Kluyveromyces lactis: one gene and its partners. The protein of the gene in region 1 interacts with the protein of each later gene in a biochemical or structural test. Links are inferred from orthologs where the notes say so. Each region holds a gene or a part of one and is shown in the gene's direction. Other genes may lie near its edges. The genes, in order: RFA2, IME2 and RFA3.

Evidence for each region.
Region 2: of the proteins of RFA2 (region 1) and IME2, one has a biochemical effect on the other in vitro, tested with the Saccharomyces cerevisiae proteins (2 studies listed by BioGRID). The link is inferred for Kluyveromyces lactis from reciprocal best matches to the Saccharomyces cerevisiae genes RFA2 and IME2.
Region 3: the proteins of RFA2 (region 1) and RFA3 form a complex in vitro, tested with the Saccharomyces cerevisiae proteins (3 studies listed by BioGRID). The link is inferred for Kluyveromyces lactis from reciprocal best matches to the Saccharomyces cerevisiae genes RFA2 and RFA3.

The regions. Positions count from the first base shown.
Region 1 is NC_006041.1:667,310-670,051, reverse strand, and holds RFA2 (Rfa2p), read left to right. Parts: upstream 1-1,461; coding exon 1,462-2,145; downstream 2,146-2,742. Other genes in the region: KRI1 (Kri1p), read left to right, coding at 1-851; GAS4 (1,3-beta-glucanosyltransferase), read left to right, coding at 2,511-2,742. UniProt on the Saccharomyces cerevisiae protein: Binds to single-stranded sequences participating in DNA replication in addition to those mediating transcriptional repression (URS1) and activation (CAR1). Stimulates the activity of a cognate strand exchange protein (SEP1).
Region 2 is NC_006042.1:262,833-267,167, forward strand, and holds IME2 (protein kinase IME2), read left to right. Parts: upstream 1-1,496; coding exon 1,497-3,764; downstream 3,765-4,335. Other genes in the region: KLLA0_F02860g (NAD(P)/FAD-dependent oxidoreductase), read left to right, coding at 4,268-4,335. UniProt on the Saccharomyces cerevisiae protein: Protein kinase which is essential for the initiation of meiosis and sporulation.
Region 3 is NC_006037.1:587,510-589,947, reverse strand, and holds RFA3 (Rfa3p), read left to right. Parts: upstream 1-1,573; coding exon 1,574-1,924; downstream 1,925-2,438. Other genes in the region: CPS1 (Gly-Xaa carboxypeptidase), read right to left, coding at 1-735; KRE9 (Kre9p), read right to left, coding at 2,170-2,438. UniProt on the Saccharomyces cerevisiae protein: As part of the replication protein A (RPA/RP-A), a single-stranded DNA-binding heterotrimeric complex, may play an essential role in DNA replication, recombination and repair.

The DNA.
Region 1 (2,742 bases):
AGAGAGATGAGGAAAAGGCTATTAAGGATAAAGAGGAAGAAGAGAAGCAAAAGGCAGTCCAAAAGAAAAAGAAGGAAAAGGTTAACCAACTTACTGATGTTTTAGAGCAAGTAAAGAAAGAATATGGTGCTGATATCAAAGAAGAGCATGTCAAAGCCTTAACCGATACCTTAATAAACGGAAACTTCGAAGATGGGAAATGGGATGAAGTCATCGGTACCATCTTTAACGACGAATTCTACAACCAGGAAGATAAACCAACATGGGATGAGAATGACGATATCATGGGAGAGTTTTATGCTGAACAGGAAACCGAGGATCATGCGGAAGACGATGAGACCTTGGCATCAGACTCTGGAGAGCCAAAAAAGAAGAAATCAAAGAAGGACAAGATACAAGAGAAGAGAGACAAAAAAAAAGATAAGAAGCAGTTACATGAGATGGTAGAAAAAGCAGTCGACGAACGTAAGGTAGACATCATAGAGCAGGTGGAAGAAGAAAGAGGACGTTCGACAGAGAAAAATTCTGAAGTTAAGTTTAGATACCGTGAAGTGTCTCCAGAATCATTCGGATTGACTACGCGAGAAATATTCACAGCTGATGACGCCGATCTAAATGAGTTTATCGGCTTGAAGAAGTTTGCACCATATAGACCAAAAGAACTGACGTCAAAGGATAGAAGAAAGGTTACTAAGAGCAGGCGACTAAGGGAATGGAGAAAGAAAGTTTTCAATACCGAAGAAGGCCTCACCGGTGATGAATTAGCAATTCCTCTGAACGACGGTGAAGCTCATCAAACCTCTAAAGAAAAGGAAAGATTGAAGAATAAGAAGAGAAAGAGAAGAGATTAAAGATTAACTTATTCAGCATTATTTAGTTAACTTACATATAAATATTATTGTAATCATCAAATTCCATCCTAATGTTGCTGCCGAGAGGAAATTAAACTTGGTTACAGTATCCTTTCTTGCCACATATTTGCATTATTCTTTGTCCTTGTATACTGTGCTAAGATTTCTGCCATACTAATTCTTTATTTATATTACCCTGCCAAACACGAACCAAATCTTTGAAAGGGAAAACGCGTAACTTATTCATAATCTTCTGAAGAGAGGATATGAGCTTTGTGAATGGCAAAACTGATATTCAATGGAGGATAACCAAGAACTGGGTTATCTTCGGCAGAAGGAGTCAATAAACAGAAGCTAAAGAAAACTGACACAATGACCAGTACGTTACGATGTTTTTCCGAAACTATTTATTTAGGTTCAGTCTTGTTCCCATTACTAACACTTTCAATAAAACTAATCACCACTCCTCCTTTATCCAGCTTATCATCCATATAATGAATATTCTAATATTAATGCTGGTGGATTTGATAACTCAGATCCAAGCCAATCTTCCAGACCAAATTCCGGTGGACAAAATGCCAACACTTTGACTCCTGTGACAATTAAACAGATGCAATCCGCAAAGCAACAAATTCAAGATGGACCATACGTTATAATGGGTCAAGAACTTCACCATGTGTCATTTGTTGGTGTCATTAGAAACGTTGCTGATAATACATCGAATGTTACTCTTACAGTTGAAGATGGGACTGGGCAAATCGAATTCCGAAAATGGACTAATGATAGCAATGATATGTCGCACGCCTCTCAAGAGGACCAAAATGGTGATTATAACTCGCAAGTAGCACAAGACTACTCGGTAGGGAAATACATCAAGGTATACGCTTCTCTAAGAGAATTCAGTGGTAAGATGAATGTACAATACGCTGTAGTAAAGCATATTGATTCATTCAATGAAATTCTAGCACATCACCTGGAGGTAATTAAGGCATTTGCTGTGGCTAACGGTAACTTGAGTGTTGACTCAACGGTGGCAGTTAACGGAGCTAATACTGAAACCAATAGTTTATTTGTACAAGATAACGAGCCTCCAAAATCAGCCACTGAAAAAGTTTTGGATTTTATCAGAGCCCAGTGCGCTGGCAAGGATTCAAACTCTTTCTCTGTGCAGACTAAACTTATCTCTCAATCTTTGAACATGATTGAAGATGATGTCAGAATGTATTGTCAAACTCTAACAGAACAAGGTTACATATACCCTACCTTCGACGAGTTCACCTTCTTTATCTTATAATTTTTTACATATTTTTGTGTATAAGTTCGATTTCAACATCATAATTATCATTTTAAAAAAGTACTTTCATTTTGGGCGACGAATCAGCAGTTATGATCCCAAATATATCATTGGCATCTGTACTGAACTACGTTGTGTCACCTTAGCTATATTAAGATGACGCGGTTATTCTATGTGTTATTTTATTTACTATTTTTTCATATATATGTTGGTAATTGGCTGCGTCAGTGACAGATTATAATATAAGAAATATAAACACAAAAATTCATATCTGCAATCATACAAGATGCAGAAATCTCAGTGAAGCCTGATATCCCTGCAACAATCAACACAGAATTTAGAAATAAACATACACATTCAAGAAAATGCATAGATTGATAATAGGTGTACTTTTCTTTGTCTCCTCTGTTTTAGCTGATATACACCCCATAGAAATTCGAGGAAAACACTTTTATGATTCTGTCACAGATGAACCATTCTTTATAAGAGGTATTGACTATCAACCAGGTGGATCTAGTGACGTTACAGATGAAAAGGATCCCTTATCAGATGTTTCCGTTTGTGCAAGAGATATACCTTTGTTTCAGGATTTGGGAA
Region 2 (4,335 bases), on another chromosome or scaffold:
GGGGCAGGGCGTTTCTACTGAAGCTATTAAAGGAAATTCGGTATTATCTATATCGGTAAGTTTAGCCGCCATATTTTCTTGAAAAATTTTCCTTTCAGTTGTTGTAGCCAAACTGTGGGGAAGGGAGAACTATGGTCAGAAGCGATCGCAATGTTTACCACTCACATCATGACGTGCAATAGGTGCGCCATATTGGGTCATATATAAATTACTAGTATACTTAAATTTTTGTCGGTACTTCTTAGCAGAATCTCTAGTGGGCCCCAATCTTTTCGGCGCTTACACTGCAGAATTCGGCAAATGCTGCATTTTCGGTAAATGTGCCTGTACTTAACCCCTTTATATCCAAATTATTCGATTGATCTATTAATACATAGGTTAGTATGTACATATCTTCCGCTCCCATCCTGTCCCGTTTAATTCCCGTAGCCAATCTTGCCGAACCTTTCTTCCCCTTAATCTAACTCTCTAGAAGTTGTTCGTGCCCGGTAATATTTGGAGGGGTACAATCCGATCATTTTAAAGTATATGGAGAATCAATTAATAAATTAGATTTTTAATGGTTTGTATATTGAGTTTCCCTTATCGTAGACTCACCCCTCCCCTATACCGCTATACATGGATTTATCGCCTTGTACAGGAACACTTATCAGCTTGTAGATCTGGATTTTTTTTTTTATTGCTGAAAAGAAGAATACATCCTTTGCACCAGAATTAGGCGCCGACATGTTGGAATTCTTTTGTGGAATATATAAAGGATGCGTTATTCAAAGGATCTCCTTTAATTTTGAATCTTTTTGTGTTCTCATCTTCTAATTACCGTATTGCTGTCAGTTATGTGTATCTTTTTAAGTTATGTATCAATTGTGAACGAAGGAAACCACATGCATATTTGCAGCAGAAGGAACAAATTTCACACTTACTTTTACTAGGATCGATAGTGGCTAACTGAAGCTCCTGTTGTTCTGTTTTGAAGTTTTACATTGAAAAAGTGTTTTAGTATATAACAACTAGACACAGCATCGCCTTTTCACTTTTTGAGATCAAAGGTATTATCGTTGTTTGAGTTTCATTTTGAAACTGCATATTAAGAGAGTGTTAATATATCAGGATTATTGTTTTTCTGTTTTTCTATTTTTCTCGATTCTATCCTATACAGCATTATCTAAGGTGTCAGATTTCAGAGATTTCAGACATTCGATAAATTTTTTTTTTCTAAAAAAGTTAGAATAAAGAGAGCGGTACAAAAAGGCAAAAACGGCACTCAGAAGACACAAAACGAAACACTCCAATAGGTGTCAGTTTTAGGAATCCTGTAATAAAAGCCGACACAAAAAAAGCATAAGATTAGTTATAAAATCAACCAAAAAAAAAGTGCTTCTAATTTATTACCGCGTAATTGAATCTTAAAACACAAGATTAATCGTTACATTTTAAAATAAAATTCACTAGAATATTTGTCAATCAACTACTTCAATAAAGCAAAGAAGAACAAAATGCCAGCTTTAACTTTGACCACAGCAGATTCCTTCATACCCCCAGATGTTAATAACCCTCCATTCTATATTCCGCTCAAGAATATCGATGCTAGATATAACGTAATTCAGGAATTGGGGAAAGGATCCTTCGGATCTGTGACATTGGCCGAGACAATGTACGATATGAACAGTTCAGCCACCCAAATTTCCTCAATGTACCCAGAAACTTTGATGGATCAAACTCTTATCAGAAACGTCGAACAAGAAAACTGGTACTATAAGAAAAAGGGTATAGTGGCAATCAAAACAATGATGAATAGATTACCAACATTGCATGACTATACAAGAGTCAGAGAGATCAAATTCATATTGCAAATTCCTGCACACAAAAATTTGGTTACCATATACGAGATGTTCATTGATGATTCTTTGTATCACCTTCACATTGTAATGGAATGCATGGAGCAGAACATTTATCAATTGATGAAACATAGGAAAAGAAGAGTGTTTTCCCTACCTACTTTGAGGTCGATATTATTCCAAATATTAGCAGGAATTAAACATATTCATGATCACGATTTTTTCCATAGAGATATCAAACCGGAGAATATCTTGATATCGCCATCTCATAGGTACTTCAGCAAGAAATGGTTGGAAGATGATAATTATTCGGATAATTACGTGGTGAAATTGGCTGATTACGGTTTGGCAAGACATGTGAATAACAGATCACCTTATACCACCTATGTGTCGACCCGTTGGTATAGGTCACCAGAAATTCTTCTTAGAAAAGGATACTATTCCAAACCGTTGGATATTTGGGCGTATGGTTGTGTTGTTGTCGAACTAGCCACCTTTTCACCACTATTTCCCGGTTCTGACGAAACCGATCAAATATGGAGGATTCTAGATTTATTGGGCTCCCCAGATCATTCTATCAATGGAAAGGAGCACTTTGGGGGTTCATGGCTGGATTCAAAACCATTATACCAAGCTTTGAACTATGAATTCCCATACGTAGAAGGGAAAACGATAAGGGATGTTCTACCAAACCCACAATTGGAAGATCTATATGATGTGGTTACATCTTGCCTAAAGTGGAATCCAAGTGAAAGGGCTACTGCAAACGAAATATGTGCATTGCCATACTTCAAGGAATACGTGATGAGAGAAGCATCTTTGGCAAAGACAAATAACGGAACCGCATCCAAAAATAAGGATAATACAGCTTTGGCAAATAAACTTGCAGCAAATCCATCAATATCAAACCAATGGAGTCGTATTCTTTCTGGACTACCACATAACCCGGAATTGGGCATTGTTCCTAGTTTTAACTCTCCACAGAAGTTACCAAAGGTTCAAAAGAACAATCAAATGAATTGTGTAACAGATAAAAGCCAACAGCAACCGCGAAGAGGAGGAGTTGCCTCATGGTTCAAATTTTCCACGCAGAAAAACCACGTTAACATCAATCCAAATACAAACAATGATGAGAAAATCCTTACTAGTGTTAACACGAATACAAATAGCCAGAAGAATCAAGGAATTGTAGAAAAAAAACAGCAGGAACAACAGGTAAATGCTCACAACGAGAGGCTAGATAGCTCTACAAACGCTAATGGTAACAGTATTCCTGATATAAATCTCATAGGACATGCCAACAATGATAATGAGGTATTCACTATTGAGCTGGATGATAGCATGGAGACTATGACAGGATCTGATCAAATTTCTAAGGAATTAAATGACAAAATAGAGCTTTATCAAGACACCACAAATCAGATGAACCCACCAACTCTGGATGTTGATGACGATGACGATGAACATGATTCGATTGACATGGACCATGAGAATTATAGGATTCAGGTGTTGGACGAATTTGATACTGATGAGAACTTGGAACATGAAATTAGAGCGACCGACAAAGATGAAAACAATGAAGTTGCCGTTGATAAGATGAAGATCTCCAATCAAGGAGAAGACGAAGATGATGCAGATAGTCTTCTAAACTATTATCAGGATATGATGGCTAAGAAATTACCACTTAACAAAAACAAAGGTAATTACATGCATTCGAATGGACCAGCGGGTCCTACACTATCAGATCAAATGGCAATAGACGATTCACTTGATCTACAAGAACAGATCCCAAGAAATCTGCTGGAGAGGGCAGTACAGCAAAGAGTTTTAGATTGTCTTTTAGATCCATCGGAACATGCATCTCAAAACCTGATTCAAACCTCTAACTCCCACAATCATACATTCCAAGATGGATTAAGTTTCTGATCGTAGAACAAAGAACAGCAGGCTGTTCCTCTCTTTCAGTTCTACTCGTTGAAATTTCTTTCAACAACGCTTTACCTGGTCCTCTTCCCATTCATTTATACCGTTTATAATATCCACACACACACACACACATATTCACCTTTTGTACCTGCTAGCTCATAAGTTTTAACATAACTTGCTTCTATTATTTCCTTTATAACTTGTTGGATACAGGACAGAAATGCCGACAACTCTTTCACTCTATAACATGGTACTTCTACTTGATTTACCTCTTATGTACACTATTATCCTTACTGTCTTTGTTTACTATCTCAAGTTTTTTTTTTTTTTCTTGGTAAACTGTTCCTATCAGCTCCGAGGTCCGATGATTCAAAATCTTTCGAGCCATCAACTTTACATTGTACTTCAAAGTCTTTATAAAGAAGAACTTCGGTTAAGAAAGAACATAGATAATATATTCAACTATACAGCTTTCCTCACATTAGACAGGCAGCGAACCGGAAATGTCCAATTATGATGTTGTCATTGTTGGCGCGGGTATATTTGGATTAAGTACTGCTGTGCAATTGGC
Region 3 (2,438 bases), on another chromosome or scaffold:
CGGTACGAAACCCTCGGATAATAAATGTTCAATGGCAGCCAATTCACCTAGCAAGAGATTCTTACAATCAATTGCACCTCTACCCCAAATGGTATCAGTCTTCTCATCGTAATGTCCACTGAACGGAGGGAACTTCCAAGCACCCCAAGTGTCACGGTTCACTGGCACAACATCTTGGTGTGCAGTGAACATAACAGGTTTCAAATCCGCGTTGGAACCAGCCCAGGTATAAACCAATCCAACCTCGTTAACCAATTCCTTCTTTAAATGTTTATGAACCAATGGATACTGTTCTTCCAAATATTTGTGAAATTTAAAGAACTCCGAATAATATTCAATATTATCCTTTGGTCTAGGGTTGACGTCTTGAATCTCAGTAGGAATTTGCAAGGCACCGGATAGCTTTTCAATAGCTAATTTCTTATACTCAGCATCGTTCAAAATCTTCTCTATGGAGCTCTCACCGGATGGGCTAATTGGCTCTGTCTTCAAGCATACAGAGTCAAAATCAATCTCATCATCATCATTTTCTTCTTCAACTACCAATTTTCCAATGGAAGTTCCAAACGTATTACTGAAATGCTGGTCAACCAACGATTTGACTTGTTCGATGTCGTAATTCTGGTTATGGAGCAAATACCCAAAACCCGCTAAAAAGAGCGAAGCCAATAGAAGAACCAAAGTCTTCGAACTGGAGCCTTTCACCGGCTGCTTATCACGTTTCTCGTCTGCCATATTTCTTTTAGAGCCCTTGATAATACACGAACCCTACAATAGAGTTTAATACGATTCTAAAGCAAGGGTATCCACTTGTTATCCACCTGTGTGCCTTAAAGATGAGCTGATTATCTTTAAAATTTTAATTATCAAAAAAAAAGGGACTTCTCGAGACTAAAGAACAATTGAAAATAAATGCGTTCCAAGATGCAGCAAAATGCCAGAGCCAAAAGTGGGACAAGCCCGTGGATTGACAAACCATATTACTTACCTACTTACCTATATATATGTGCATTATAAGAACACATCCAGGTATACCGTACCTCTGTTGTACTCTGTTTCCGTATGTACGTTTAGAGGCACCGAAGACCGAGAATAATCTTGCTGATATTTTATGCAGCCAGCATGAAGCATGCAGCTGACAACTTCTAAGCTTGGGCAAAAAAAAAAAAAAGGCAGAGAGGATATCGAAAAAAATGGGCAAATTCCAGCCTGTTTAGAACAAGACGAGGTCGAGTCAGCATACTTTAAGACTGATACAATTGACCTGGATTTTTCATGGAGGAATCTGTTCATTACATAATGCACATTACATTCCTCTGGCCGCATGGATCTTCTATTGGGAATTGGTGGAATGACAAGAAAGAAAAAATAGCGTTCACGTGACCGTTGTCATGAAATCAAAAGAAAAATTTCCAATTGTATGTTACCCGGTCACAAAGTTGCACACGAAAACCTGTGTTATCAATTTATTTATATTTCTGTATATTAAATGCATCTTGTTAAAACGCGTGAACTTGTCATTACAGCAGACTCATCTTTAACAGCAGCAACCAGCAACCAACAACCGCTAGTGATGTCCAACCAAACGCCAAGAATTGACCCGAGCCAAATAAGCAATACTCAGCACTCAGTGTTTCGTATCATAGCCAAGGTGTTAGATCAACCACAACCAAAAGAGTTAATCCTACAATCTCCAACAACCAATGGAGAAATGATAACGCTATCACAAGTGAAACTGTCACAAGGAAGTAACATTGAGGTTGGATCCTGGTACGAATTTGTTTGCAGAAATGTCGATACCGGTGATATTGGGTTGATGGTGCTTGATTCTGTGAAATGTGAGCTGAAAGAAGGTGAAGAGATCAGTGTTTCTGGTATAGTTGCATTACAACAATTGAGTGGCAAGTTCCCAGATTTGTACTAAGTTTTTACGTTTGAAAAGAGGGGAGGATGGTGAGAGGACAAAACTGGAAAGAATTATAAATATATGAGTGTGTGTGTTTTTTTTTTGATTTGTATAAGTATATTTATATGAAGGCAGTATTACGGAAACCCAAAATATCTCTTGTAATCCTTAAACAGAAAGCCAACCAAAAAAAAATAAATTGTTATTAGAGTAGCCCTAGGGGCATGCATGCACGATTGTATCATAATTGGATCATCACCTTTTTACCTTCTCTTGTTGTTCAGTTTTCTGGTGGTTAATGTTTGTCTATCAGTTGGGTCATACCAACCACCGTTATCAGAGGGGAATGGCGCAGGAGTTGCATAGTTGTAGTCAGAAGTTCTTGAGTAGGACCAACCCGGGGTGTAAGTGGTCATTTGTTCCAGTGAGTTCCGAAGACTGGTATAGTAGGTGACTGCACTCGTTGCGTACCTTCTGGACCATGTTGTTACTGTAATTGCAGTTCCTGGTTGGGTCTGCATTGGAGCGTACC